Macaca mulatta: one gene and its partners. The protein of the gene in region 1 purifies or fractionates together with the protein of each later gene. This does not show direct contact. Links are inferred from orthologs where the notes say so. Each region holds a gene or a part of one and is shown in the gene's direction. Other genes may lie near its edges. The genes, in order: FXR1, CEP63, G3BP1, ORC2 and TDRD3.

The links.
Region 2: the proteins of FXR1 (region 1) and CEP63 purify together in Homo sapiens (co-immunoprecipitation; 3 studies listed by BioGRID and IntAct, with this or other methods). This does not show direct contact. The link is inferred for Macaca mulatta from reciprocal best matches to the Homo sapiens genes FXR1 and CEP63.
Region 3: the proteins of FXR1 (region 1) and G3BP1 purify together in Homo sapiens (affinity purification with mass spectrometry; 3 studies listed by BioGRID and IntAct, with this or other methods). This does not show direct contact. The link is inferred for Macaca mulatta from reciprocal best matches to the Homo sapiens genes FXR1 and G3BP1.
Region 4: the proteins of FXR1 (region 1) and ORC2 purify together in Homo sapiens (affinity purification with mass spectrometry; 4 studies listed by BioGRID and IntAct, with this or other methods). This does not show direct contact. The link is inferred for Macaca mulatta from reciprocal best matches to the Homo sapiens genes FXR1 and ORC2.
Region 5: the proteins of FXR1 (region 1) and TDRD3 purify together in Homo sapiens (affinity purification with mass spectrometry; 3 studies listed by BioGRID and IntAct, with this or other methods). This does not show direct contact. The link is inferred for Macaca mulatta from reciprocal best matches to the Homo sapiens genes FXR1 and TDRD3.

What each region holds. Positions count from the first base shown.
Region 1 is NC_133407.1:92,987,180-92,993,557, forward strand, and holds the start of FXR1 (RNA-binding protein FXR1), read left to right. Parts: upstream 1-2,682; 5' UTR 2,683-2,697; coding exon 2,698-2,748; intron 2,749-6,378. UniProt on the Homo sapiens protein: mRNA-binding protein that acts as a regulator of mRNAs translation and/or stability, and which is required for various processes, such as neurogenesis, muscle development and spermatogenesis.
Region 2 is NC_133407.1:37,590,821-37,596,526, forward strand, and holds part of CEP63 (centrosomal protein of 63 kDa), read left to right. Parts: coding exon 1-13; intron 14-1,065; coding exon 1,066-1,203; intron 1,204-2,818; coding exon 2,819-2,933; intron 2,934-3,816; coding exon 3,817-4,014; intron 4,015-5,706. UniProt on the Homo sapiens protein: Required for normal spindle assembly.
Region 3 is NC_133411.1:160,740,647-160,745,650, forward strand, and holds part of G3BP1 (ras GTPase-activating protein-binding protein 1), read left to right. Parts: intron 1-299; coding exon 300-401; intron 402-983; coding exon 984-1,095; intron 1,096-1,312; coding exon 1,313-1,441; intron 1,442-1,863; coding exon 1,864-1,973; intron 1,974-4,928; coding exon 4,929-5,004. UniProt on the Homo sapiens protein: Protein involved in various processes, such as stress granule formation and innate immunity. Plays an essential role in stress granule formation.
Region 4 is NC_133417.1:106,071,897-106,078,299, reverse strand, and holds the start of ORC2 (origin recognition complex subunit 2), read left to right. Parts: upstream 1-2,392; 5' UTR 2,393-2,563; intron 2,564-3,687; 5' UTR 3,688-3,756; intron 3,757-4,904; exon of another isoform or gene 4,905-5,247; intron 5,248-6,403. UniProt on the Homo sapiens protein: Component of the origin recognition complex (ORC) that binds origins of replication. DNA-binding is ATP-dependent. The specific DNA sequences that define origins of replication have not been identified yet.
Region 5 is NC_133422.1:39,862,721-39,869,101, forward strand, and holds the start of TDRD3 (tudor domain-containing protein 3), read left to right. Parts: upstream 1-2,174; 5' UTR 2,175-2,313; coding exon of another isoform or gene 2,314-2,354; intron 2,355-6,381. UniProt on the Homo sapiens protein: Scaffolding protein that specifically recognizes and binds dimethylarginine-containing proteins. Plays a role in the regulation of translation of target mRNAs by binding Arg/Gly-rich motifs (GAR) in dimethylarginine-containing proteins.

The sequences.
Region 1 (6,378 bases):
TAGCTATATACCCAAGAGAAACAAAACATACATCTGTCTATACCAAAACATATACAGAAATTTTCATAGCAGCATTATTCCAAACAGCTAAAAAGTAGAAACAATGCAAATGTCTATCAATTGATTAATTAATAAATAAAATGATGTGGCATATCCATACAACAGTATATTTGACAAAAAAGAATGAGTCGTAATACATTCTACAACATGGATGAAACTATAAAACATTATACTAAATGAAAGAAGCCAATTACATATAGGCCAGGTGCAGTGGCTTACGTTTGTAATCCTAGCACTCTGGGAGGCTGACGTGGAGGCAGTGGATGGTTTGAGCTTCGGAGTTGGAGACTAGCCTGGGCAACATGGTAAAACCACGTCTCTATAAAAAATGCAAAGATTAGGTCATGTCTGTACTCCCACCTACTTGGGGGCTGAGGTGGGAGGATCGCTTCAGTTCAGGAGGTGGAGGTTGTGGTGAGCGGAGATCAAGCCACTGCACTCCAGCTTGGGCAACAGAGCAAGACTCTGTCTCAAAAAAAAAAAAAAAAAAAAGCCAGTCATAAAACACCACATATTCTGCAATTTCATTTATATTAAATATCTAGACTAGGCAAATCTATACAGGTAGAAAACAGGTTAGTGATTTCCTAGGGCCTGGGGAGTTGGGGTTACATCTAGAGCGATTGCTAACAGGTATGGGGTTATTTTTGCAGTGATGAAAATGTTCTAAAATTGACTGTGGTGATGGTTGCACAAATCTGTGAATATACTAAAAACTACTGAATTGTACACTATAAATGGGAGAATTATATCTAAAGAAAATGTTTTAAAAAAGTAAATAGGACATTATAATTCTGAAGGATCATGAGATACGATATAAAGTGTTAGCATAAGACGCCCTTAATAAATCGTGGCTATTACTCATTGATGGGCATTTAGTTTGTTTACATTTTTCTCATTGTGATCAACACTTTAAAAAGAACATCCCAGCCCACTGTGGGATGGCCAAGAGTTCAGGGTTACAGTGAGCTATGATTGTGTCACTGCACTTCGGCCTCGGTGATAGAGATCTCGTCTTAAAAAAAAAGGAAAAAAAAAAAAAAAGGCTGGGAGTGAATAAATAGGTTGGGCACGGCAGCTCATGCCTGTAATCCAGAGGCGGGTAGATCACGAGGTCAGGAGTTTGAGACCAGCCTGGCCAGCATGGTGAAACCCCGTTTCTACTAAAAACACACAAAAATTAGCTGGGCGTGGTGGTGTGCGCCTGTAATCCCAACTATTTAGGAGGTTGAGGCAGGAGAATCACTTGAACCCAGGAGGCAGAGGTTGCAATGAGCCGAGATCACACCACTGCACTCCAGCCTGGGCGATAGAGCGAGACTCTGTCTAAAAAAACATAATAAATCAAATCAAATCAAATCAATAAATATTGTAGTCCCAGCCACTTGGGAGGCCCACGTGGGAGAATCACCTGAGCCTGGGAAGTCCAGGCTGCAACGTTTATCACACCACTGCATTGCATCTTGGTAACAGAGCGAGAACCTGTCTCTAAATAAATAAAGAGAATATCCTGTACATGACAACAGCGAGCACTTTCACAGCCCTCATTTTCCCCCAGAATCTTCAGAGATGCAGACGTGCTCATAAAATTTATGTACATTTTTTTTTTTAGAATCTGAAAAACTGGGTCAGTGGGCATTTCATGGGAATTACAGAATGTTAGCAAAGTATCCTTTCCTAACTTTTTTTGCGAAAATGGTAATAATGTAAGTATAACGAGAAACACTTATAGTATTATTTCCAAAGCCCTTGCTTAGGGAAGAAGCTTCAGTATTAAGTTGTTAAAATCCATACCCAAAGTATTTGTTATGCTTACAAAACTGGAGATGGTTCTGCTTTGATCCTATTTGTGGAACTCTGCATACATTTAGCAGAGGAAAACGTGGTCTCCTGCTCTATTGTTTGTCTGACTACTTTTAATAAGGCGAATTCACCTAAACTCTATTCTAGGGTGGGAACACAGTTGACTTGCACTGAAAATACTCAGTTTGACTTTTAAATAGCTAAAGTGGTAACAGGTGGGGAGAGGGCTAGACCAAATTGTTTGAGTGGATGTGGAACTGTGGAATTTGAGTCAAGAGAAGGCCCAACTTTTTTTTAAAGAAAGAGCGGGGCTAAAAAACTTGGGGCACAATAGTATGTCTATTTTGTAGGCGTCCCTCTTCCCCAGGGCAACTGGAGCCCAAAAAGTGTATGATAAAGCCATTCCAGGGCAGCCAGCACTTCCAGAAATTTAAGGTCAGGATGCCGGAGGGCTGGGGAATGCCGATGTGCCCGACAGGCTGTGCCTGGGCAGTGGCAGCTGGAGGCACTACTCGGCCGCCGCGGTGCGAACAGCGGGCACTGTGGGGCGGGGACCTAGGGGCGGGTCAACAAAGGTCGGGCGATTGTGTCGGGAAGCAAATCCGACGTAGACGGCGGCGGGCGGAGCTCAAGGCCAGTGATGCAGGGTGCGCAGCGATCCCACCTGGAGAGTCGGGGCGGCACGTTGAGACCCCAGGGGTGAGGGGCGGGGGATCCAAATCCCCGCCCTGTTTTCCCCTCCCCTTTCCCCGCCTCCTTCTCGCCCCTCCCCCCTCCTCCCCTCTGGTTGGAAAGTTTCTAGAATCTCTTCCCAGCGGCCTTTGCGGTTCCAACATGGCGGAGCTGACGGTGGAGGTTCGCGGCTCCAACGGGGCTTTCTACAAGGTACTGACGGTTTTGCCACTTTGTCTAGTATTCTGGGGGCTGGAGCGCGTTTGAGGGAGGGTTGGTGGTCCCAGAAAGTGAGGTTTGGATTGGAAAGGAGGCCAGGCCAAAGCTCGAGGCCGCTAGATTCCTTGCTTCTCCCCCCTCCACCCGCGGTTTAACGGTCTCGGGGGCCGGGGCTCCGTTATGTTTTGAAACAACACGTCGGACGCCTTTTGCATTTTCCTAGTTATGAGCCTTCTTGGTTGCTAGTACGGTTCTTGGCGGGCCGGTGGGAAGCAGCTCAGTGGCTGCTGGGCGGCGTGAGCTCCCTCGGAGCAGGCCGGAGCTCTGGGAGGTGGGGGAGTCGTGAAAGGAGGCGGTGGGATTGTGTGGTCACACCCGCTCCCCCGCCCCTCGAACTGGGCCGGGCGGGAGCTCCTCAACCCGCTCCTCCGACCCCTCCCCACCCCCTGGGGCGGGTGTATCGCGGAATCTTTGGAATTCACCCTTGTATTTGAGTTTTGGGCCAACAAATCTTTAGTGCCTGAGGAGAATGAGGGTACCGGATTGAGGGTTAGGATCGAAGACAGAAAAGCAGAAAACCTTGAATTGTGGCGGGTTGGAATATTTTTGCGGCCTGGGAAATTGGGCGGCGCCTTAGCCCCTCTATTACGGAATAAAAGGAGAGTTGTGTGCTTTAAAGTAAGATTTAAAATGCGAAATGGATCAGGGAGATAGGTGGAGAGGTGACTAATTTCTTTATATCACTGCCCCTGTTTTTGGAGGGAGGTATTGTTTTGTTTTGTTTTTCCCCCACGAGGTTTTTTTGTTTGTTTGCTTGGGGAGGAAGGGCATGCATTACTATGGAATCGGGGCTGAAAAACGTAAGAGGAATAGAGTAGAGGAATTTGGTGGGGCGTTCAGCGTTCACATATCTGAAAATGAAATCCTAATGTTTATTTTTTGCTGCTATAGCATTCTTTTCTCCTTATTTTCCCGAAATATGCCAGGCCGTTACAAGATCAATACAGAACCTCCCCAGCTGTTGTCTGTCAGTCAATCTCACTAAGCCAGCATCTCAAATGTTTGAGAGTCTTGGCTATTTTTATGAAGGGCCGCCTTCTAATACATGAGTATTGTGCGTATGCAAAATGAATTCTCACAGGTTTTCATTTCAGGGTACCTTTTATCCCTTGGGTTTTTATTTTATTTGGCCATGATTTTCTATTTTCAGGGTTTTGTTTTTCCTTTCTTAGTTTACTGATTAGCTCTGTGGATTTGGTTTAACTGTCACGTGGTACTAGCATAATGGGGAATCACAGCGTATAAAGGATCCCCCTAAGCTTTTTGCAAGTTTAAATCTCCTTAGGTGGTAAACTTAAAGTAGGAACAGTGCCTGTTGGAAATGAGACGTTATGTTAATGCGTGAGTAGTTACATTAACGTTCTTGGTTTAAGACTTGATGTCAGACCAATGACCTAGGTGAAATTTGAGTACATATTTAATTGACTTTTGTTGTTACTGAAACCTGGTGGTTGCTTTCCCTGGACGACTGAAGATACAGTTCTCTGGGTAAGACGGCGCAAAGACAAGACTTATCCATGTTTTTCCTGTCAAGTGTAGATAAGTCATTTTGCATCACCCCCCACCCCTTTCCCTAAAAGTTTTAGATTCTCACTATTTGGCTATATAGTTCTGGTGTAAGGGAGGTATGCATGTTTTCTTGCACATTGGAAAAAATAAAGTGATTATTTTGCTTTAATTCATGGTTCTGCATCATGCATGTGGTAGACAACTATCTTTAGCAAAGTATATTTGTCAGTAGCGTGCTATACAAGATTTTTTTCCTTTTTTTAATAAGGTGAAGATAATTTGTTTTAGTAAAGATTGTTTGCAGTCTTTGGTTTCTCACGGTATTTTTTTTTTCCAGTCAATTCACAATGAATCAAATGTCCCCATTTTGGAACTCTGAAGTATTTATTATTGATCTCTATACATACTCTACAGTCTACTGCTTGTTTCTACTTAGACTTTGACTCCATTACTCATTTTGCCTCACAAAGTGAGTTGGTACTTTGGCAAAGGTTGGAAAGGACACTAGCCACATGTGTGTGCACTGAAACCATGTACGCTTGAACACTTGGAATTTTATGTCCAGCCATAATCCACTTGCACATGCACTTTGTGGAAACTCTGGTCTTCAGAACTCTGGAAGAAAGAGAATGGAGAAGTGGAAAAGAGTCCTGGATTTGAAGTAAACAGATGAGAATTCTAGGTCTGTACTTCACCTTACCATAATCTAACAATGGACCCCTGAACAAATCTCTCTGTCTAACATGAGGGGCATGAAGTAGTTCCGTGATCCCCAGTATTTTTTCATCCTATTAAACTGCTGACTTGAAAAACATTGGTTTATTGCACAGAAATTTATTGCTTTTTAATCATTAGAATGTAAAAGTTGAGGTTAATTTACATACAATAAAATAAACCTTTTTTGGTGTACGGTTATGAATCTTGATAAATGCTGACAGTTATCAAGATTAACTGTCACCTTAACTGTGGTGGTGTCAGCATTTATCAAGATTCATAGCCCCCAAATTTCCATCATGCCCTTTTCAGTCAACCATTCTTCAACCCCAGCTTCTAGAGTGTTTTCTGTCCCCATAGTTTTTCTTATTCAGAACACTACGTATGTAGAATTATACAATATATTGTGTAGTGTTTTGAGTCCGGCTTCCATTTAGCATAGAAGCAATTTAATTTTAATTAGTTTTTTTCCAATTTAGAAGATAATGCATGGTCACTGAGGGAATTTTGGAACTCAGCAAAAACTAGAAGTTGCCTTGAGATGAGAGCTGTTAACATTTTGTGTATTTGTTTTTTTACGGTGTTTTTCAATGTACAGGTGATTTGAATTTCCCTCTTTTCCCCTTCTCTTAACCCCATATAGGCAGAAGACACACATTTGGCTATAAGCATGAATTGCCATTGATTAGTTTCAAAGTCAGTTATACCTTGAGGCAGTGCTCTGTAGACTTTGATTAAAGTTTTTCTAATAGAACTGAAACTTCATTTCACAAATTAATTGGAACCAATGAAACGCTGAAGATCTGAATATTTTACCTAAAATTAGGGTAGCCTTTAAAAAATAGTATGTACACAAATGATGGCATACTAAATACATTGTTCTGCATTTAACAGTGGCTCTATAGTTAAAGAGATTAGAAACTTGATTTGTGCATGTTCGCAGCCCTAAAAATCTGTGGGGATGAGAGGGAATGGGAAGATGTTAATTAAGCATTTGATGGTGGGCTATGCTGTTATATAAAATAACATTATAGCTTTTGTACTTCTCATACCTAGAGTAGCATCTTAGGTTTTATACTACCGGGCATTTAAGGTGTCTTGAAAAATAAAGTTTTATTGAGGTAGAATGTATATTCTATAAAACTAACCTTTTTTTAAGTGTACAGTTGAATGACAGTGTATTTACAGAGTTGTGTAACCACCACCACAGTGTTCCTTCAGAACATTCCATTACCCCAAAGAAACCTCCGACTCATTTGCATCATTAAAGTGCTTCTTAACTGTTGTATAAATATATATTAATCTTTGTAATAGCATTGCAATTTTTATGGCCTTGGGCTG
Region 2 (5,706 bases), about 55 Mb from region 1:
TAGAAGCTATAAGGTCAATTTAATCTTAAATAGTATTCATCTTAGCCACTTAATGGCTAGGCATTAAGCACTAGGCTTATTTTTATTTTTATTTTATTTTTATTTTGTTTTCAGATAGTCTCCTTCTGTTGCCCAGACTGGAGTGCAGTGGTACAATCTCAGCTCACTGCAACCTCCACCTCTCAGGTTCAAGCGATTCTTCAGCCTCAGCCTCCCAAGTAGTTGGGACTACAGGTGCACGCCACCATACCTGGCTAGTATTTTGTATTTTTAGAGATGGCCATTCATCATGTTGGCTAGGCTGGTCTTGAACTCCTGACCTCAGGTGATCTGCCCACCTCGGCCTCCCAAAGTGTTGGGATTACAGGTGTGAGCTGCCACGCCCGTCCAAGCACTGGTTTTAATATTGCATATTCATAATTTTATGTTTGATCGTATTGTGGATTTTCTTAATTGGCTTTAACTTCTGAGTTAGGTTTTTAAAGTGTTATAAAATTTTGTGTGGTTAATTTTCTTCTGCCACCAGTTTGGGTCCCTAACAGAGACTCTCATGTTTAGAAAGTTAGAAGCCAAGGTCAGTTTGCATGCTTTGGGAAAATCCAAACATGCAGGGAATTGTCATTCACGTCTCCTGGAGGCCTCACTTTCTTGGTGGAGTAGGTGGTGATTAGTAGCTGCTTATCAATAATAGCAGCCAGCCATTGGGCTAACCCTCTTGCTTGATGTAAGTCTGGTGTACATTTTTATTTTTGCCAGAATTCTCCTGTAACTTTTCAGTTTTTTTGGTACAAGGTTTCAAGTGTCACTGAAGTGATTTTGTCATTTTGTCTTTTTCCCTTGAAAAATAGGCCAAATCCCAGTTAAGAAGGGAGTAAATTGCTGCTTTTATAACTTTTAGCATCTCTTGACTGTCTTTCCTCTCCCAATATTCTTTTTATAAAGCAGGAGACAAACTGAAGAGTTCCAAAGAGTTTATCAAAAATGGTTGGGAAACACAAACTAGATGTGCATTGTTTGTGTTTGCAGAGATAAAGGCCTTAACAGTCATCATATGTCTTTCCATAGGCTACGGGAAGAATCTCTGGCAGAAAAGAAGTACACCTCTCAAGGGCAGGGGGACTTAGACAGTGTGCTCTCGCAGTTGAATTTTACCCATACTAGTGAGGAACTTCTGCAGGCAGAGGTGACTCGTCTTGAAGGCAGGTACATAATTATACACACATTTCAAAAATTTCAAGTTGTTAAAATGAATTTTTGATCATCATATTGATAAAGTAAATGAATATAGTAGTCATAGTGAAAAAAATAAGATTTTTTTCTAGCATCCACAAACTGCCTGAGTTCTTGTTTCTTTTTTTTTTCCTTTTCTTTTTTTTTTTTTTGAGATGGAGTCCCACTCTTTCACCCAGGCTGGAGTGCAATGGCACGATCTCGGCTCACTGCAACCTCTGCCTCCCGGTTCAAGCGATTCTTCCTCCCCAGCCTTCCAAGTAGCTGAGATTACAGGCGTGCGCCACCACGCCTGGCTAATTTTTGTATTTTTGTAGAGACAGGGTTTCACCATGTTGGCCAGGCTGGTCTTGAACTCCTGACCTCAGGTGATCTACCCGCCTCAGCGTCCCAAAGTGCTGAGATTACAGGTGTGAGCCACCACGCCCTGCCCTAAGTTCTTATTTCATTGAGAAGACAGCAGCAATTAAAGGAGAACTTCTTAATCTTTCTGTCATCAAAACTACCAGTCTTCCCACACCTGTGCCTTTCTGCACTTCTAAGACCAACTACTCCACTTGTGTCCTTTTTCTGTAGTTATATCCTTTCTTTTCTACATCATCAAGTTCTTTCTCTCCGCTGAATTATATCCACTGGTATAAAATATGCTATAACGTCACCCATCTGGGGGAAAAACCATCCCTTAATCCTATATCTCCGTCAAGTTACTTCCACATTTCTGTACTTCTCTTTAAGACCAAATTCTTCAAAAGAATTGTCTATACTGACTCTACTTCTTTACCTTTCACCTGTTTAGCAGCCCTTCACTTAGGTTGTCCTCCCTGCCACCTTGGAAGCAGGGTAGGAAGGGGTAACAGTTGACACACGGTGATCCTCCTTTTTGTTCTGCTGTGGTGGTGTTACTTCCTTGGGTGTTAATTGAATCCTGACTAATGCTATACCATACCTACCTAAACTCTTGTCATTGTCGTACTTATAATTTTTTTTTTGGTTTTTCATACCTCTCAACTTTTGGATTGGGAAGAGTGTGATATTTTGTTTTAAACACATGACTCATTATCATTTGTACACTGGCATTTTCTGTATGTAAAAGATAAAATTACTTTTAACATGAACTGTTAACCTTTAGGCAAACAACAAGAGAAATATCATTTTACACTTTTTAAGTTATCTTTAAGTAATACATTTTTTGTTTTTACATTTATTTCTGGTTTTGGAAACCAGTAAGTATTTTCTTTTATCTACATGTTAAATGCACAAACATACATACACACACATATTTTCTGCTTTATTCCTTTTGGAATACTTGGAGTACTTGAGATAATCTTTGTTATCATTGAAGTATATGTGTACTCTTCCATTTGACTAAAATTAAGTTTATTATTTTTGACATTGGGACAACAATTTACATTTTTATCACAGTTTTTTTATTGATTGGCTTTTTAGTAATATTTAAATGAGTGATGTGATGTTTAAGATATTGGCTGAATATTTTTTGGACATCAAGAATGTAAATTATATAGTCCAATTTATAGGTTTCGGGATTTTGGTTTTGTTTTAAATATGGGATCTTATTTTTGTCATACAGTTTGGAATCTGTGAGTGCAACATGTAAACAGCTGAGTCAAGAACTAATGGAAAAATACGAAGAATTAAAGAGGATGGAAGCACATAACAATGAATACAGAGCAGAGATTAAGAAGGTAAAAATATGCATACCTAGGATTGCAAAATTGTATGTGTTTATGGACTGAGCTGTGGGTTTGGAGATTATAGGGGTTATTTTTAATGAGAGAAAAATGTAGTTCAAGGGGCCACTTGATATTTAGGAGTGGAAGAGTACGTGGAATGTGCATAGGGAAAGTGCCTTCTTTCTCTGGCATCCCCCCGATGCCCAATAAATATTTTTAAGATAATTGAAGGCTGTTCCCTTTGAACTTAAAAACTTTATTTTAAACATGTTTTAATGAAAAGTTTTCTAAAAGACATACACTTAGTGTTTGCAAAAAAATATGAACTGTCATTTAATATTTTCTTATTGCCTAAACATAGTATTTATGGATTGTCTCCTGTGCTGTGATGTGGTTGGTATCCTTGTCAGCTATTGAGGTATGCAGAGCTGTTTGTGTCTATATGAGTGGGTCCTAACTGTCCTATTTGTTGTTTTGTATTTTTTGTTACTTCTTGAAGATTACTTCTCGCTTGTTTCTTCCTCTTGTTCTTTCTGTTTGTTATCCTGTGGACCAAGATACCATATGAGCAAAACTTTTAGATTCACAACTAAAAAAAAGAATGAAGGTCACAAGTACTGTCCTCTAAATAGTGTGCATGGACCTTGATTGTGGTCCTCAGCACTTGAATAACCCATCTCTCCCTGTTTTGAGGTATAATAAATGATTGTAGGTATAACCACCTGACCTTCAGTACAGATATGCAACTTGGTAAATTGCTAATTTTTCTGCAGATTTAATTCAGGAGAAATTTAATGTCTTGAGATAAGGTAAGCTTTTATTTTATTAGCTGGTAACATATTATTCTATCTAAATGCTTTCTCTTTTGGTGCTTTCTTTTCTGCTTTCTTTATAGTTGAAAGAACAGATTTTACAGGGTGAACAAAGTTACAGTTCTGCACTAGAAGGAATGAAGATGGAAATCTCCCATCTAACTCAGGAGTTACATCAGCGAGATATCTCTATTGCTTCCACCAAAGGTTCTTCCTCAGACATGGAAAAGCGACTCAAAGCAGAGATTCAAAAGGCAGAAGAAAAAGCAGTAGAGCATAAGGTGAAGCCTGAACAAAAACTTTTTTAAATTTGAAATTTGTTTTAAAGATGGAATTGATTAAAGACATAATTTTCATAATATTTAATTCAGTGAATTTTTATTAGATACCTGCTTTGAGCTGAGGGTATGCTGGTTAACAGAGAGTTTAGTGAGGGTGGTGCAGAGGTGAGAGTAGACACAGACAAGTAAAGTGACTATATCAGTGGTGTATGATGAGAGTCACTAGAGATCACAAGCAGCCTGAATCTAGACCACTCGCTGCAAAGGCCTTCCAGAAGGTGTGATAGCAAAGCTAAGTTAGGAGCGAGCTGGGTGAGGGGAAGGAAAAGTATTTCAGGCACAGGAAAATACAGAGGTCTCTAAGAGATAGTAGAACACGCTTGCTGTGGTTGAAACACGCTTGCTGTGGTTGAAACTAGAGTACACGTGGGATGAGTGGAAGGTATGAGACTGGAAAGCAGAGACTGGCTGCTGAAAGGCTCTGTTAGCCACATAAAGGAGTTATACTGTGACCTTGAGGTCAGTAGGCAGTGGCCACAAGCAGGAGTAAAATTCAGTGGTCTTTAAATGGAGAATAAACAGGGAGACAGAGCACCCAGATGCTGTTACAGTGGTAAGATGGTGGCCTGAGCAGTGGGTAAGGGAGGGAGAGATAAATGGATGAATTCTGGAGATACTGGGCTGGTAAAAATGACTGGGCATTGTATTTGATTGGCAGGGAGGGTGAGGTAGGCAGAGTTAAGAAATGGTGTTCCACAGGATTTAAGCTTAGGCAACTGATGGAAAGTGATGCTCTTTAATTAAATAGAGAAAAGACAGGGATCTAGTTTGGCGAAGGATAATGAATTTGTGTGAAAAGTACACAGACTGGGGAAACTGGTGGAGAGGACTTTGGTTTAACACATTTGTTTGGAATAAAGGCTGGAATTTTGTGTGGATAATAGTCATTTCCACAGAAGGCCTGGAGTTAAAGATTAAAATCAGGATTAGGTATTTAGCTGTGGCTGTCCTTTCTTCATGGTGACATTTGAAACCCCCTGAGAGACTTAATGATTATAGTGAGAAAGCATAGCATAAAAAGAGAAGTGACTGAAACCAAACTTAGGATACTTCTCATTTAGCGTGTAAAAGATGTTGGAATGAAGCTTAAAAAAAGGGAGCAGTGAGGAGGAAAATCAGATAGTTTTTGCCAAGCCAAGGAAAGAAGGAATATTTTCTTTTTTTTTTTTTTTTTGAGACGGAGTCTCACTCTGTTGCCCAGGCTGGAGTGCAGTGGCGCGATCTCGGCTCACTGCGAGCTCCGCCTCCTGGGTTCACGCCATTCTCCTGCCTCAGCCTCCCGAGTAGCTGGTACTACAGGCGCCTGCCACCACTCCCGGCTAATTTTTTTTTTTGTATTTTTAGTAGAGACGGGGTTTCACCGTGTTAGCCAGGATGGTCTCGATCTCCTGACCTTGTGATCCGCCCATCTCGGCCTCCCAAAGTGCTGGGTGAGCCACCGCGCCCGGCCAGAAGGAATATTTTCAAATGGGAATGGTTAAGCACAAAAGCTAAGGGGAATGAGAACTGAAAATAAGTTATTATTTTGTGAATAAAGTACAATTCCATGTGACGTTGCAGGTAGAAGCCAAGTTGGAGGAGTCCAACACAGGAGAATGGGTAGGGATTTAAGGGATTTACCAGTGAATTGAA
Region 3 (5,004 bases), on another chromosome or scaffold:
TGAGCACAGGAGATGGAGGCTGCCGCGAGCTGTGTACATGCCACTGCATTCCAAAAAAAAAAAAAAAGTGAGTAGTTTCTTGAACCTAAGCCTCTCAGATTTGCCTGATCATCAGTCCCAAGGAATTTCAATACTAAATTTTGAATAGCTGGAAGAGAAGAATCTTAATATATGTATAAACTCCATCCTGCCTGTGAGAATGTGTTACCATTTGTTTTGTACAGGAAATCAAGAGTTAGTAGCTTTTATATTGTTTTGATACATGGTATAATTATGTAATGTTGGTATTGCTCCCTTAGACGTTTTCTTGGGCATCTGTGACCAGTAAGAACCTTCCACCCAGTGGAGCTGTTCCAGTTACTGGGATACCACCTCATGTTGTTAAAGTACCAGCTTCACAGGTAAGGTCTTAATAAAACTTGTACATTAGGCAAGTGTACTTATATTTTGGTAATTTGATTCAACAGAGGTTTAGAGAGTGTGAAAACTGGTCAGGTGCAGTGTGGCTCATGCCTGCAATCCCAGCACTTTAGGAGGCTGAAGCCAGCTGATCACTGGAGCCTACCAGTTTGAAACCAATTCAGGCAACATAGTGAGACCCTGTCTCTACAAAAAATAAGAAATTAGCCGGGCCTTGTGGCATGCATTTGTAGTCCTAGTTAATTAGGAAGCTGAGGTGGGAGGATTGCTTGAGTTCAGGAGGTTGAGGCTGCAGTGAGTCATGATTGTGCCACTGGACTGCATCATGGGCAACACAGTGAGACTCTGGCTCAAAAAAAAAAAAAAAAAAAACAACCCAAATCAATGTAGAAACAAAACTGATATATAAGACAGAAGAGAAGGGTATAAGGTGGTTTTTAATGATTTTTCTTGTTAGGGAATTGTCCATTTTCTAGTTTAAAACTTGTTAGCTAAGAAACTTCATTAAGAAAAAGGATAAGCCTGCTTTGTTTTAACACAAAAGTTAACTTAAAATTTTTCAGCCCCGTCCAGAGTCTAAGCCTGAATCTCAGATTCCACCACAGAGACCTCAAAGGGATCAAAGAGTGCGAGAACAGCGAATAAATATTCCTCCCCAAAGGGGACCCAGACCAAGTAAGAGCTCAGAAGGGCGATTTCTCGTTTGGGGGATTTTGAGGTGAGAGCTTATTTTGGGAGGGCAGTTGATATTTATATACTTTAAAATAAAAATATTGTAGGGTTGATGGAATTGCCTGTTTTTACGGTAGAGGGAAAACTATTGAATGTGAGCAGTCACTGAAAGATGTCTTCTTTCTCTTACCTTTAATTGATGTTTTTGTCTCCTTTTAAGTCCGTGAGGCTGGTGAGCAAGGTGACATTGAACCCCGAAGAATGGTGAGACACCCTGACAGTCACCAACTCTTCATTGGCAACCTGCCTCATGAAGTGGACAAATCAGAGCTTAAAGATTTCTTTCAAAGTAGGTTATTGAGTTTTGAACACTAAATTCATCTAGTGTCTCTCTAGCACTGTACAGTAGAAATAGAAAATGAGCCACATACGTAATTATAAATTTTTTAGTAGTCATGGTAAAAAGAAAAAAAAAGGTAAAAAGAAACTGGATAATTTTAATAACATTTAACTCTTAAGGCATTGTCATTTCAACATGTAAGAATATTGTGAGAGATATTTTACACTTTTTCATAATAAATCTTTGAAATCCAAATGTGCCTCCCATAATTTTACACTTATGAGAGGCACATCTCAATTCAGACCAGCTGTATTTATATTTCAAGTGCTCAGTAGTCACATGCATCCAGTGGCTACTGTATTGGACTGTGTACATGGAATGTTTAAAGGGAATGGTCTAAGTAGTTATCTGAGAATCTGTTTCACTTGCAGATTATGGGAACGTGGTGGAGTTGCGCATTAACAGTGGTGGGAAATTACCCAATTTTGGTTTTGTTGTGTTTGATGATTCTGAGCCTGTTCAGAAGGTCCTTAGCAACAGGGTAAGCAGCTTTTCATCTTGATTTTTTTTTTTTTTTTTTTTAAAGGTTTTGGTTCTTTAGAATATATTTATCTTTACAGCTGGGTCTTTATGTAAAGTGCAGTTTATTCCAACATATTCAGGTAATTTATTCCATTATTTTCAACTATTGTTAAAAGACCTGCCTGGGGGTTTAGAAAAATGAAACTTATGTTTAAATAACTTAGTTTTTGAAAACATGAATTGTGAGAATGAGAAAATGAATAGTTATCAGTGCACTGAGATTTACGTAACTACCTTTCCTTGGTATTGGCTTTTGGTGTACAGGAGGTGAAATACAAACCTACTTTTAACTATTAGATAAGAGCCAGTTTGCCCAGGGCTGTTTTGGGGTACTGCTGTTTTGTAGAGACTAACTATTAAGAACTTCTCCTATAAGTCAATAAATTGGGTTTGGAAGATAAATTATATAGTCAGACTACTTGGAACCACCCTTACTAACAGTACTCTTACCCTGTAAATTCTAATAATAGAAGAATTTGTAGAATGGAAATCTTACTGTGGTAGCCCCAGAGAAAGCTTCCCCTCCCCTAGCAAAAAACTGCTTTTTGTAGTAGTGGAGAAGAACAAGGGTATAAATAATATTAATTTACTAAGCTATACTTTTTTATTGAGGTGAAATTTACATAACACTATTAACCATTTAAAAATGTACAACTTAATTGCATTTAGAACACATATTGTGCAACCATTACCTTTAATTCCAAAAGTTTTTTACTAAAAGCCATAAGCTCTTTACTCACTAAGCAGTCATTCCTTGTACCTGTCTCCCCAACCCCTTGCAGCCACTAATCCGCTTTCTGTCCCTGTGGATTAAAATTGTGTACTTTAAACCATGTAATAGAAATATTGCAGATCAGTGATATTCTCTAGAATGCTAATGGGCATACTGCAAGGGTTTTTTTGTTTGTTTGAGACAGAGTCTCGCTCTGCTGCCCAGGTTGGGGTACAATGGTGTGATCTCGGCTCACTGCAACCTCCACCTCCCAGGTTCAAGCAGTTCTCCTGCCTCAGCCTCCTGAGTAGCTGGGATTACAGGTGCCCCTCACCATGCCCAGCTGATTTTTTTGTATTTTTAGTAGACACGGGGTTTCCCCATGTTGGCCAGGCTGGTCTCGAACTCCTGACCTCAGGTGATCCACTGACCTTGGCCTCCCTAAAAGTGCTGGGATTATAGGTGTGAGCCAGTGCACCTGGCCATACTGCATAGTTTAGTGTTGTGGTCCTAACATTATGTCAACCTGAGTATGCACATATACATTATCTTTCAAATTATTTTACCACATATTTTTGTGAAGCATCTCCTGCAAAATACTGTTTGAGAAATGAGAGAACAGTGGTTCATCTCACCAAAGCCACTGAAGAACTCAGAAATGTCCAGTAGGCTTTGTAGATAAATCCATCATTCAGCACATTGTTAGGCCTAGTGGCCACCCTTCATTTCATGATATTGATAGAAGTCTACTATGCTTCCTTCAGTAATTTTTTGTGTGAGCAGAAGTAGCTTATGTAAGACTGACTGCCCTGGTGTATGACATACTGTAGTGTACATTAGTGGTTCAAAGCTTATTTTTCCCAGTTTGGAGGCCTTGATTTACATTCTCCTTTCATCACTCATTAGTGTTGTGACCCATGGGACAAGTTACTTAACCTCCCCAGTCCTTAGTTTGCTAGTCCTTAAAGTAAGTATCTACCTTCAGAGGGTTGTTGTAAAGGTTAAGTGAGTTAATAAATTTGAATAGAACACTTCCCTGACACATAGTAAGTACTGTTAGATGCTTATTTTAAGAAATTAGAAAATTATATTGCTGGTGAAGAGCATAATTGAATATATTGAAATGTTTGGTAACTTTGGCTCTGTTAGCAAATGAAGCCCAAGACTATCCAAACTTCTCAGGAGGTGAAGAACAAGTTAAAGTTTATGTCAGATTAATGAAGTTTTTATTTTAAATATATACGTACTTTGCATAAATATGTACAGTACCATCTTTTCGCATTGGCGGTGATGAGGTTTTATTCTAAGCCTCCAAATCTATGGAGAAGGTGGCAATTCTTTATTCAATTTACATAATTATATGAGAAAAAATAAGTACGATGAGAGTTAACTTGTGCTGCTGTGCTATTTAAAATGGCTTTTTAAAACTGGCCTGCCTACCTAATCACCTTTCCAGGTATTTGTTAATGGTAAATTGTATGTTCTCAGTTAAAAACTGAACTGTTGTAATCCCAGCACTTTGGGAGGCTGAGGCGGGCGGATCACTTGAGGTCAGGAGTTTGAGACCAGCCTAGCCAACATGGCAAAGCCCTGTCTCTACTAAAAATACAAAAATTAGCCAGGTGTGGTGGTGGGCGCCTCTAATCCCAGCTACTCTGGAGGCTGGGGCAGGGAAAATCGCTTGAACCTGGGAGGCAGAAGTTGCGGTGAGCCAAGATCGTGCCATTACACTCCAGTCTGGGTGACGAGTGAAACTCTGTCGCATTAAAAAAACAAACAAACAAAAAACTGAACTGTGAGAATTTAGCTGATTTATAATCTGCTGGTTCTTTTTTTTTTCTGAGACGGTGTCTTGCTCTGTTTCCCAGACTGGAGTGCAATGGTGCGATCTTGGCTCACTGCAACCTCTGCCTCCCAGATTCAAGTGATTCTCCTGCCTCAGCCTCCTGAGTAGCTGGGACTACAGGCGTGTGCCATCATGCCTGGCTAATTTTTGTATTTTTTTAGTAGAGATGGTATTTCACCATGTTGGTCAGGCTGGTCTTGAACTCCTGACCTCGTGATCCACTTGCCTCAGCCTCCCAAAGTGCTGGGATTACAGGCATGAGCCATTGCCCAGCCTCTGCTGGTTCATTATTATAGCTTTCTTTGATAGTGATAGCTCATCACTACTCTTAAGTCTGGTCACCTTGATTCTTACAGCCTATCATGTTCAGAGGTGAGGTCCGTCTGAATGTCGAAGAGAAGAAGACTCGAGCTGCCAGGGAAGGCGACCGAC
Region 4 (6,403 bases), on another chromosome or scaffold:
CCTGTGTCTCCATTCTGAAGGTATGGCTCTTTGTTTTTATCTTAGTATCAATCTAAATGCAAAACTCAGCTCCTTCCCTCTATTTTCCACACATATGCCATAAAAACTACATCCAAACCCACCACTCACACCAAGGCCTCTGTGGTCTGTAGAAGCCTTTTTTCAAGATGTGGAAAGAAGAGGAATGAAGGGGAGTTTACTGACATCAGAGAAATATTAAAAAACAGCCAGGTGCAGTGGCTTACTCCTGTAATACCAAAACTTTGGGAAGCCCAGGAGGGTGGATCACTTGAGCTCTGGAGTTGGAGACCAACCAGGGCAATATGGTGAAACCCCCTCTCTACAAAAAATACAAAAGTTAGCCGGACATGGTGGCGTGCGCCTGTAGTCACAGCTACTCAGGAAGCTGAGGTGGGAGGTGTGGTTGAGAATAGATAGTCCAGGCTGCAGTGAACTGTGATATAGCCACTGCACTCCAGCCTGGGCAGGCAGAGGGAGACCGCATCTCAAAAAAAAAAAAAAAATTATATATATATAAAAGACACATAAGTAGAACATATCTATTCAACATTCCTAGATCTTCATCTTTTTTTTCAAATTTTTCTTTTTTGAGAAATGGGGTCTCAATGTGTTGCCCAGGCTGGAGTGCAGTGGCTAGTCACAGGTAAGATCACTGCTCGCTGCATCCTGGAATTCTGGGATGCAAACAATCTTCCTTTTCTCAGCCTCACAAGTAGCTGGGATTACAGGTGTGTATGCTGGGCTAGATAGTCATCTTCACATTTCTAAACACTCTTCAAGCACATCGTTGTTAACTGTTAAGCTATGTTCTCTTTATCTTCTGTCTCTAGTCACTCCCCAAATTCTTTTTATTTACAATGCACAAAAAATTGCCTTTCTCTTCTGTTTTCTTAACTCCACCTAGCCAAAATAGAATAATGAGGTATCAAGGCTACGATCATTTCTTTCTCAACTGGATTTCCTAAACAGCTTCCAAATCTCGTGACTCTGTATCTTCCCTCCCAATCCTACCTCCTTTATCCAAAGATCTTTCAATACAAATCTGACCAGTGCCCTAACGGCCAACTAAGCCCTTCATAATAACAGACCCAACGCTTGGCATTTTACACAGCTGTTACACGGATTTGGACCTTCTACCTGGAAAATGTCACCCCTCTTGACCTGTTTTAAATCTATTCAACACTCAGGTTTCAGTTTAAACATCCCTTCCTCCAAGAAAATTGTTCCTGACTCCTTCTGGACTTTTAATTAGATACTCCTACCATGTGCTCCAATGCACTTCCCATATAATAGCATTTTTCTCAATATTTTCCGTTCAATATCTTCAAGTGCTAGGTAACTATAGTGAATGCAGAGATTGTAGGTGTCTCGCTATATACTGAATCCTTATCTTCTGATTCGCAGAGTACTCTGTAGTTTTGTTTTGTTTTGAGTCAGTGAATCCAAATGAAATAGTACCCTGTTCTTAATACTGTATGGATCCCATCCAGGTTCATTCCTTTTCTTCCTCATTTTCTCTGTCTTGTCTTTTTTATATTTTGGATAGTTGAAGTCAATCATTTACTCTGTCTATTCATTCTATTTCCCCAGCCTCTTCATCCCACTAGCCGTCCGATCCCATCTCCATAATTCAGTGCTTCTCCTAACGTCTCTTTTCCCTACTCCAAACCCTGGAGATGTACAAGATCCTACCTTTCACGCCAAATGAAGAAAATATTTAAAAAAGAAACACGAATCAATTTCCATTACCTTTTTCTTCAAAAGGTACCTGGCGAAACCAACGAACACTTTTTTTTTTTTTGAGACGGAGTTTCGCTCTTGTTGCCCAGGCTGGAGTGCAATGGCGCGATCTCGGCTCACTGCAACCTCTGCCTCCCGGGTTCAAGCGATTCTCCTGCCTCAGCCTCCCGAGTAGCTGGGATTACAGGCGCCCGCCACCTCGCCCGGCTAATTTTGTATTTTCACTAGAGACGGGGTTTCTCCATGTCAGTCGGACTGGTCTCGAGCTCCTGACTTCAGGTGATTCGCCCGCCTCGACCTCCCAAAGTGCTGGGATTAGAGGCGTGAGCCACTGCGCCCGACCCCAAGTACACAGCCACCACTCAGCCAGCTATTCCGCAAACTTCCTCGCATCCACACAACACTTCCTTCTCCCTTCCCCGGAAACGGAAAGAGGAAAGGAAAGATAAGGCCCACAACTCAGGGCCTAAGGATCCGTTTTCCTCAGGTTTCCTGATGGGCGGGGCCGAGTGGCCGGCGCCGACTGGCCGGCACAGCCGTCGCTCTTGGCCGACTCCTCTTCCTATTGGCTTCCCCGGGCACCGCCCCCTGAACAGGGCGGGAGATTCGGTGTGCCGCACGCAGGTTTCCCATCCCCCAGCTGGCCTGCAGGGCTCCTTACCTCCGCCGTCGTCGGGCGTGAATTACTAGAAATTGGCTTCTCCCGTTGGTGCCGAAGGTGCTTTCCCTGCGGCGGCGATTCAGCGGGGTGTCGTTCGGCCGGCGTGAGGCGGCCGGATCGGCGCCAGGCGGAAACCTAGCGGTGAGTAGTGGGGTGTCGGAGCAGCCTGCCTCCCTTTTCTGCTTAGCTCGCGGCTTGTGGGGCGCATCCAGGTGCACACAGCCCCGCGTCGGAGCTTGGCCCCCAGCGTCCCACGTCGCGCATCTCAGGGCTTTCCCTCGGCACTCGGGGCATGGTCTCTGCGCCTCTCTGCCCCCCGCAGGCTGCCCGGGGGCTCGAGAACCCTTTGCTGGTGGAGCGCAGCCAACTGGCCAGAGGTTGGAGGCGCAAGCCAAAGTCCTTTAATACTTGAGGTGAGAGGCTCGCTCTGGGAGGACCTTTCGTTAGTCTGCCCAGCAGTTAAAAGCCTTTTGTGAAAGGGACGCCTAATATTAACATACCTGATTCCCAGCTTACGAAGCCCTCTGGTTGGAAAAGAACTGTGAAGATCTGTAACGAAAGTGGTAAAGTGCCCTGTGAGGTATGAAGAGGAAGAGATCGCATCCCAGAACCACTGTAGCTAGAACCTTTGATGTCATCCCAGCCTGGAGGCACCCATGTGTCCTGCTAACTGATCGGTCACCTTGGAGCCACGCTTGGCTGTAAAATGTTGATAAGCCAGGCCCTTTTGGTAGAGCTTTTTAATCAAAAAGATGTTGAGACGTTACTTTTCATTTTACAATTGAAATCCTAATAGAATCGTTACACTTTCCCCCAGTTAAATTGTAATCTGAAGAAAAATAGCACGGTCCTACACCGTTGTATAAGGGCACTGCACGTTAAACGGTCATCATCACTTATTGAGCAGTTTTTCTGTTAGATGTTGAATGAGTTAGAGATGTACAAGAAATCTGCATGGTGAAGTTGAAGTTTAAAGTAAAAATATCTCAGTGTGTACTGCAGTAAGGAGCTAAAAAAGAAAAAGGTTAAAGAAAAAATTACCGATAATTGGGAGCATTCAGTGATGCTCTTTTATACATCAGGCACATGATTTCATTTAATCGTCAGGACTTTGGACAAAGTCACACAGTTATAAAGTATGGAGTGGAGATTGGAACTCACGTTTCTCTGATATTAAAATTGGTGCTTAACCACTAATCTCTCCAACCTTTTTCAAAGGATTATGTTTTTAAAAATTACAGCAAATCTTTCATTTGCTTTCAAAGGAGAGTGTGTTGCTAACACTTGGTGCTGCTGAATTGCTTTGAAGTTAACTCCTTGAAAGGGGTTGACAGGTAAGCACCAAGGCAGTGCCTTGAAGGGTCATAATGGTCACTAAATATTGCATTTTATTGTGTGATTGTTAGGTTTTTTGTTTGTTTGTTTGTGTGTTTGTTTTTCAGGAACTGTTGGAAAGGAAAGAAGGAAACGTTTCTCATGAGGTCTTTGTAGACATTTTCTTTAATTTGGTGATTTTGTACTATTTAGTAAGATGCTCCAAAATTAGAAAAGGAAATGTTTGTATAAATGCATTTGGCTACAAACAAGACTGAGGATGCCTCTGTCCAGGCAATTCTTATATAGAATACCATAGGGAAATTGCCTAGGACAATACTCAGTTGCCTAGAATATTTGTTTTTAAATTTTCCTAGAAAATCTCGTCCCCCCCATCCCCAAGAACAACTAAACTTTGGCCAATAAGAATTATGTAACAGACCTTTACTTGCTTTTTCCTTTGATTACCAGGAAGCTCAGAGCCAAAAATTCGTTTTGTGATTTTATTTTCTGCTTTCCTTTATATTTTTTCTGGTGTAGACTCCCTATTAGCATTTATAATTTATAATTTGTTTTATCACATTTGATCCGTGTCATTGCTTCAAATCCTTTGTAGTACATGGCAGCATATAATTAAGTAAAATAATGTAGATTATGCTGACTCTGGCCATGCTCTTTGAAGTATGCTTGATAGAACTAGTAATGTTTCACCCAATGAACTGGAAAGTTAGAGAAACTATAGAATTCTTTGGACATTCTATAGTTACGGGCTATAGAATACCCTAACCCTAACTGACATGTAGAGAAATAACTAGACCTATTATGAATGGTTTTCAGAGGTCAAAACAAGCATTTAGCATTCAGCACAGTAGTTCACACCTGCAGTCCCAGCACTTGGGGAGGCTGAGGTGGGCAGATCGCTTGAGCTCAGGCCACCCTGGGCAACATGGGGAAACCCCGTCTCTACAAAAAAATACAAAAATTAGCGAGGCTTGGCATTGCACACCTGTAGTCCCACCTACTCAGGAGGCTGAGGTGAGGTGTTGCAGTGAGCTGAGATCACACCACTGCACTCCAGCCTGGGTGACAGAGATGAATGACCCTGTTTCAAAAAACAAACAAAAAAACCCCCACAAAAACAACCCAGAACAACAAAAAAAACCAAGCATTTAGGATAACATTTTTATTTGATGGCAGGAGAGGTATGTGGTGTAATAGAGTGGTCAGGAAGTTAGTAATCTGCCAGGTACAGTGGCTTACACCTGTAATCCCAACACTTTGGGAGGCCAAGGCGGGCCGATCATGAGGTCAAGAGATCGAGACCATCCTGGCCAACATGGTGAAACCCCATCTCTACTAAAAGTGCAAAAATTAGCTGGGTGTGGTGGTGTACACCTGTAGTCCCAGCTACTCGGGAGGCTGAGGCAGGAGAATCTCTTGAACCCAGGAGGCGGAGGTTGCAGTGAGCTGAGATTGAGCCTCTGCACTCCAGCCTGGGACACAGCAAGACTCTGTCTTAAAAAAAAAAAAAAGAAGGAAAAAAAAAGAAGAAGTTAGGATGAGTCAGACCTGGATTTCAACCCTAATAGACTTTATAATTGTGTGTATTGGCATTAATAATTTAATGAGTTATTAATATTTAATGAGTTAGCCTCAGTCTACTCATTTGTAAATTGGGGACATTATACATATAAAGAGAGAGATGCAAAATACCTATGTGAGAGAATCTGAGGATTTAATGAGCTGGTGTACATAAATGTGCCTAATACAGTGCCTCACAAACAGTGCCCTCAAAAAACCTGTTTCTTTATTTTATACAAATATGTAAATGGATTAAACTTTTTCTCTAATATACCCAGATTCCCCATAATAGGAAGCAGTATCATGACTAGAAAGAAGGCCCAAGAGGACATGTTTTACAAGCAGTGGTCATAAGTTATAGATGAAGTATTTATTATCTTTATTTTTTATTTTTATTTCTAAAATTTTTCCTTCATATCATAGCTAAGTCCATAATTTTTTATTTTTTGTTTAAACAAATTTTTTTGACCTGGTGTGGTGGCTCACTCCTATCATCCCAGCACTTTGGGAGGTAGAGGTAGGTAGATCGCTTGAGCCCAGGGGTTTGAGACAAGCCTAGGCAACATGGTGAAACCTCATTTCTACAAAAAACACAGAAGTTAGCCGGGGGTGTGGTGGCACAAGCCGGTAGGCCCAGCTATATGGGAGGCTGAGGTGGACAGATCACCTGAGCCCAGGTCGGAGTTGTGGTGAGCCAAGAGCGTACCACTGCTCTAGGTGGCAGAGCCCAGACCCTGTCTCAAAAAAAAAGAAAAAAAAATTAGAGACAGGGTCTTACTCTGTCGTCCAAGCTCGAGTGCAGCAATGTGATCGTAGCTCAATGTAATCTCGAACTCTGGGGCTCAAGGAATCCTCCCACTTCAGCCTCCAAGTAGACTATAGGCACATGCCACCACTCCCAGCTAATTGTTTTTTTTTTTTGTTTTTTTTGTTTTTTTTGTTTTGATAGAGGCAGGGCCTTACTATGTTACCAGGCTTGTCTTCAGCTCCTGGCCTCAAGGGATCCCCCTGCCTCAGCCTCCCAAAGCACTGAGATTATAGGCATGAGCCACTGCACCCAGCCCAGTATTTATTATCTTTGTACAC
Region 5 (6,381 bases), on another chromosome or scaffold:
AATTCAGGTTAAACAATTTTGGCAAGAATACTTCTTAAGTGATGTGTATGTCTAATTGCATTACATCAGTAGGCAGATTACATTAGAGTGTCCCATTATTAGTGATTCTAGCTTTGATCTCTTAAGGCAGGGTTTTTTTTTTTTTCAAGATAAGGTACATTTTCCCTTCTGTAATAAGTTATGGCTTGATACTTTGAGACCATGTGAAGATCCTGTACTCCTAGTCTTTTACCCTGTGACTTTTAGTATCTTCTGATAAATTTTCCTGAAACAATTGTGGTTGACTTGGAAAATTGTGATTTTTCTAATTCTATCATTTGTTCTGCATTTACTATCTTGTATTCCGCTGAAAGAAAAGGTTTTGTCCTCCTTCCCTTTTATTTTTCGTGGCACTCCGAAGAAATTCAATGTGTTTCATCAATTATTGTCACCATTTTTTGGATGCTCATTTGTCCCACATTTCTCCAGTAAAAATCCCATTCTTGAAGGGAATTTAGTATTTTGTGGAGTATTTTATTATTGTAAGGACCATGCAGTGGTAAATCCTTACTGAATCACATGGCATGTGAGAACAAATGGCTTTATAACCAGTGAGCAATTCTGATGATTGGGACAACTTATCATTTTCATAGTTAACAGGTTACACTAACTGCAAAATGTAAATAATTGGTAAGAGAAAATTCTAACCACCAATAAAAATTATTGGCAATTTATTTTTGAGTCATCTACTTACATTTAAAAAGGCATATCTATTCCTGGTTCCTGGATATGATGGCCGATGACTATAAATTGAAATATACCTGTAGTATACTTATCACCTAAACACTACATACTACGGCACATTGTAGCGAACAGCATGGAGCTACTTCTGATTTAAAATTATCTAAACGATATGCCTGGGAGCAAATCTCAATACATTCCATCTAAGGAAAGCATCGCGATTTTATATCTATGACTTTTGGGAAGACCAAACGGAATATCCCAGCTGAAATGAGAAAAATCTGTATTAAGGAATTTTAGCTCCACCCTGGGCAATTATCCCCTTCCTTCCGTAACTGTCAATTTCCTCCCCAATCCCAAGAGCGCCTCTGCCCAGTTCCGCAGTCTCTGCTCCAAGTCTCTTTTTGATGATGCCCTTAGAAGCAGCAGCGGCAAGCGGCGGAGCTGGGGTTAAGTTCGTAACAGTCTTCTCCCGACCTGGCAGCTGGGGACAGTACCCCTCAAAAGTCTCTTTGCCAGCCCTACTGGACGCCGCAGAAGTGAAAGACCAAGAGGGTGGAGCAATCTTTCAGGGAGCGCCTGTACCCTTCCTCCTGTTCCTCTCTGATTGGCCAGCGTGAGTCACGGACGCCCAATCGCACGGCAGCGTCCGCCGTGCCGCTCGGCGACGGCGCCGCGCATGCCCACTCAGGGACCCACCCCGCGCCCCAGCCCTCTGGAGCGCTGGCGAAGGGCACCGGCGGGGAGGCGGCTGTGGTTGCCGGACGCGGCAGTACAGAGCTAAGGTCTCAGGGCCGCGCTGGGACACGGATAGTCCCAGGGGGAGGGCAACAGGAAAAACAAGCACTGACACAACCGCCCCATTTCCCCATATTCCCTAAGAGCAGGTTTTCTTGGGCTGACCAGTCATTTTCACTGTGGTGTCCGACTTGGGCAACTCGATCTGCCCGTGGGGACTCAAGGCTGAGCTGCATTTTTTCTTTGCGTCCCGGCGGACCAAAAGGCGAGGGGAAGGGAACGAGTCTTTATAAAAAAGTAAACTTTCGTGTAGAATGGGCTGGGGACACCTCCGAGTTTGGCTTCCCGCAACGTGACCTTTTTAGCGCCATCCTGGACGCGCTCCCTCGCAGCCAACCCGTCAGTCTCCTCAGGCCTTATCCTGCCCTCTCTGAGGTGGCCGCCTGTCGGCGCTGCAAACGCCACACTTTTGCTCTACGAAGAACCTCCTCACGACTTTCCAAGGTGTGCAACTCAGAAGAGTGCCCCCCAAAACAAGTAAAAACCTTCGGGGAAGAGGCAAAGTCCCTGAGCTATCCTGACCCTAGCCGCCGGCCCGTGTTTGGTGGATCAGGTCCTGGAGCTCGGCAGCCTGGAAGCCCCACACCAGGCCGGCCCCTACGGCCGCTCAGAAAACGCGGCGAGCGGAACCCGCACGCGGAAGCGCCGGCCGCACTGAGCATGCCCAGTTGCAGAGCCGACCAGAGGAGTTTTTTCTTTTCTTTCTTTTTTTTTTTTGGGGGGGGGGTCTCAAGTAGGAGGCCTCCCCACCACCCCCACCCCAACCCCCCACCACCCCCGGCTTAAGCAGCTACCATGGCCCAGGTGGCCAACGCGGCGTTGTCCCAGGCGGGTTGGTAAGTGGCGAGTCCCGCCGGCTGCCGGGCCGCTGGCGCGGGCCGGGGCCCCGAGGAGCTTGGGTTGGGGGCGGCGGGGTACGTGTCGGGGTAGGCGGAGGCTGCTGTCCGCCCCCGGCCTCTCCCCGGGCCCTCCGGGCCGGCTCCGCCCCCGGCGCCACGCGAGCCCAGCGAGTCCCCCTGTGTCCCCTCGAGGCGGCGGCGGCAGCGGCCTGGGCCTCGGGCGGCGGGCGGCGGGCCTGGGGAGAGGCCGGGGGCCGCGAGCCGGGCGGGTGGCGGCCCAGACCCCGGCCGAGTGGAGCGCCGGAGAGGACCTGCAGCGCCTTCGCGCTGCCGCTCCGGGGAGGGGGTGTTTCTGCGGCGGGACAAGGGGAGGCGAAGGCTGGGAACGAAGTGCGGAGCAGAGGGACCAACGCGGCGGAGCCCGCGGGCCCATAGGAAGTTGAGGGCAGAGCGGCACACAGCCTGCGCTGCGGTCGGAGCCGCCTCTTCTTGCCCCTTATTTCAAAGTATAGTGTGGACCAGTGTGAAGCTGCCCTCCGCGTCACACACACAACTTCTGGAGCTAAGAATGACCGCATTGTCAACTCGTGGGGGGTGCTCGGTAGAACTTTTCTTGAAAGGATGGTGTTCTGAATTTAAGAGGCCTTTCGTGTCAAGATTTTCAGGATTTGAAAACAATACAGAATTATGTGAAGTTAGGCAGTTTCTGGAATTGCGGCCATTACGGTTGTAATCATCCGGTTTAATTCAGTAACGCTTTTCCCAGACTTGCACAGGCACATTCTGGGATGAAGGGTAGGAACGGGGATGAAAAAGATTTGCCTTGGCTCTCTGCAATTACTGCTTTGGAAGAAAGAGTGAGGCATTAAAAGACCAAACAAAACCAGGGGGAATAGTGGTAAACCGTATGTACAGAGTAACAGATGAGTGCACTGTGGAATGGGAGGGAGAGTTAATTTCCTGAAGTGGACTTGGGAAGATGGTAAGGAAAAGGCTTTCTAGCACAGAGCTGCTAGAGACTGGGAAGCGCTTATTGTTTTGCAGAACCTACACAAGATCTGTATGGTTCGTGAAAGATGTGGATTTGATTTTGTGAATAAAGTTTTTGATCAGTGGAGGGATATAATCACAACTGTGTTTTGAAGAAGCCCTTCCTGGTTTTAAAGGCCCTTGTGTTGTTAAACACCCCATTTTACAGGTGAGGAGACTGAGGCAAAGAGCTGTTAAGTAACTTTCCCGAAGTGACATAGCTAGAAAGTGGTGGAGTTGAATGTTGAGCACAGAGGGCCTGGCTCTGGTCCTGGTTCCTTTAACTCTTATGCGTTATTGTTCCTATAGTTTTTTCACAGAACAGCATTGGCGTAAAAGATTGTAGAGTTAAAAACTCACTGGCTTCAGTTTTGTTTTTGTTAAATAGGAATCTCTTCTTTTAGTTTTTTTTACCCACAGGGGTGTCCTGAATTATCTTGGGTCGCTCTTTCATTTGCCTTTCTCCCCATTTATCATTAGATTGAGCGTTGATCCTTCACACTAGTAATATTTTCATTTACAAAGTCAGTATTTTACTACTTTCCAACATGACCCCGCCTCCTCTGGAAAGATTAGTCTCATTTTTTAGGTCCCGAACACATGCTGACTTTGTTTTCTGTGGCCTCTTATGCTCTTCCAGGGCAGGGAACTGAGTCTTATTTTTCTCCTTATCTGGATTGTCAAGAAGTGCACCAGATTGTAGGTTCTTTGTAAAGTCTAATACAGTTGACCTTGGAATGCCCCTGCCAGTCAGAATTCTCCGGACAGGGCCTCTGCAGAAGCTTAGGCAGAGTCCCACCCTGCTTTGTGATATTGTTGTAAATCTTCAGCAATGTTATATTGTAGCATTTGCTACTTTGTATTGCAACTTATCTGTTTATGTTTCTCCCACCTGTCTGTGCTGCTTCTGTGTGGCAGTAACTCATAAAGGCAGTAGTAATCTGTGGGGCTAATAAGACTATCTTTCTAGGAATTGTGAGTTTCATGTAATTCCTGCTAGGTCTTGAACAGACTAGGCATGAGGATCTCCTAGGCTTTCAGGTGGCTTCGACGAAGTCTTTAATTAGGGACTTACTATGTTAAAATTTAGAATCACAAAGGTTTAAAGGCAGAAAAGAGCACTGGAAGGAAAATTTCTGACTGAAGGGCTTTCACTAGCTCATTTTAGTTCTTACATCCTGAGTTTGCTCTTATACTTGGGGTTCTCTGTTACTGTCACTGACAAACCATTTTTCTTCGTATTCAAATGTATGTGCGTAGTTACTTGTAGAAGCTAAAAAGAAACAGATGCTAAAACATGGAAACACTATTGTTAAATCTGTTCTACAGGCTTTACCTAAAATAGCAGATTAGGGAAATATTTAGTGCTGAAAAGTTTACAATTCTGAAAATATGATCTTCAGGGGGGTACAGAAGATCTATGTAGACCAATCTGTTCAAGTTTCCATTATTTTTAAGTGCAATTTTTTTCCTTCTTAAGGTTTTAATCTTCATTAGAACCGCTGTAAAAATCAATATTTTAAAATATAGCTTCAAAAGTAGCTACCTGGCAGACTTAAAATAATTTTTTTTCTTCAATGGCCAGTAGCACACAAACGATTTGCTGATTTGAACTTAAATGTTTCAGGGTTTTCTACAGTATAGTGATTATGTTTAAATAATGCACTAAATGGTACCTTGTAAAGCTTAATTATATGAGTGGAATAACTTCATGGGGAAAAGAAATCTGACTCTGAATTTATCTAGATAACAGTATTACTCACTCTGCATTTTTGTTTTCTCTCTTCAGAGATTCATTCTCCTTTGGGATGATATCCCTGATCACTCTGAGTGGAAATACAAAATTCTACTTGTGGGAGAAAGATTTAAAAGGTTGATCTCTGGACATTTTGAATTTTTCTCTTCCATCTTCATCCTTTGTTTGTTTGTTTTTAACAGAAACATGTCACGGGGTACCTAATCAGTTGTGTTTTTGTTTTTGAAAAGGTATCTTCTGGCTGGGCATGGTGGTGGCTCATGCCTGTAATCCCAGCACTTTGGGAGGCTAAGGCGGGTGGGCAGGAGTTGGAGACCTGCCTGGCAAAAATGGTGAAACCCCATTTCTACTAAAAATACAAAAAAATTAGCCAGGCGTGGTGGCAGTCTCCTGTAATCCCAGCTACTTGGTGAGGCTGAGGCATGAGAATCGCTTGAACCCAGGAGGCGGAAGTTGCAGTGAGTCGAGATTGCACCGTTGCACTCCAGCCTGGGCAACAGAGCAAGACTCTGTCTCAAAAAAAAAAAAAAAAAAAAAAGAGTATCTTCCGTGGAATCAGTGTTGCATAGCTTTAACTCTCTCTTTGTACATATGAGAAAACTGAAGCACAGAGTTTTCAATAATTTGCTCAGTTATAAATGGCAGAACCAAGAATAGAGCCCAGATGTCTAGAGTAAAGATTCAGTACTCATTTCCACCAAAAATTAACAGAAGTGACCACATCTAATTTAAATTATTGATCAAAAGTGACACATTTTAAAATTGAAAATTGGGTTGAAGCATTTTGTGGTGTGTAAATTTACTTTCCTAGTCGAGGAAAGATAAAGGGCCTATTCTGAGGGGTGATCCTGTTAGAATCAAATAAATCTTTGCCTTGCAGTGAATCAACTAATTGCGTACTAGGCTTATCTGAAAATCTGGTACATTCTGTATTTTTTGAGGTTTAAGAATACAGTTGGCCCTCCATATCTGTGGGTTCTGCATCCTTGGATTCAACCAGTCATAAAATATTTGGAAAAATAAAAAAAAATACAACAACAAAAATCATATGACTAAAAAATAAAATACAACTTTACATAGCACTTACACTGTATTAGGTATTTTAAGTAGTCTAGAGATGATTTCAAGTATACAGGAGAACGTGTGTAGGTTGTATGCAAATACTGTACTACACTATTTTGTGTCAGGGATTTGAGCATCAGTAGTCTTTGTTATCTGTGGGGGCCCTGGGACTGATCC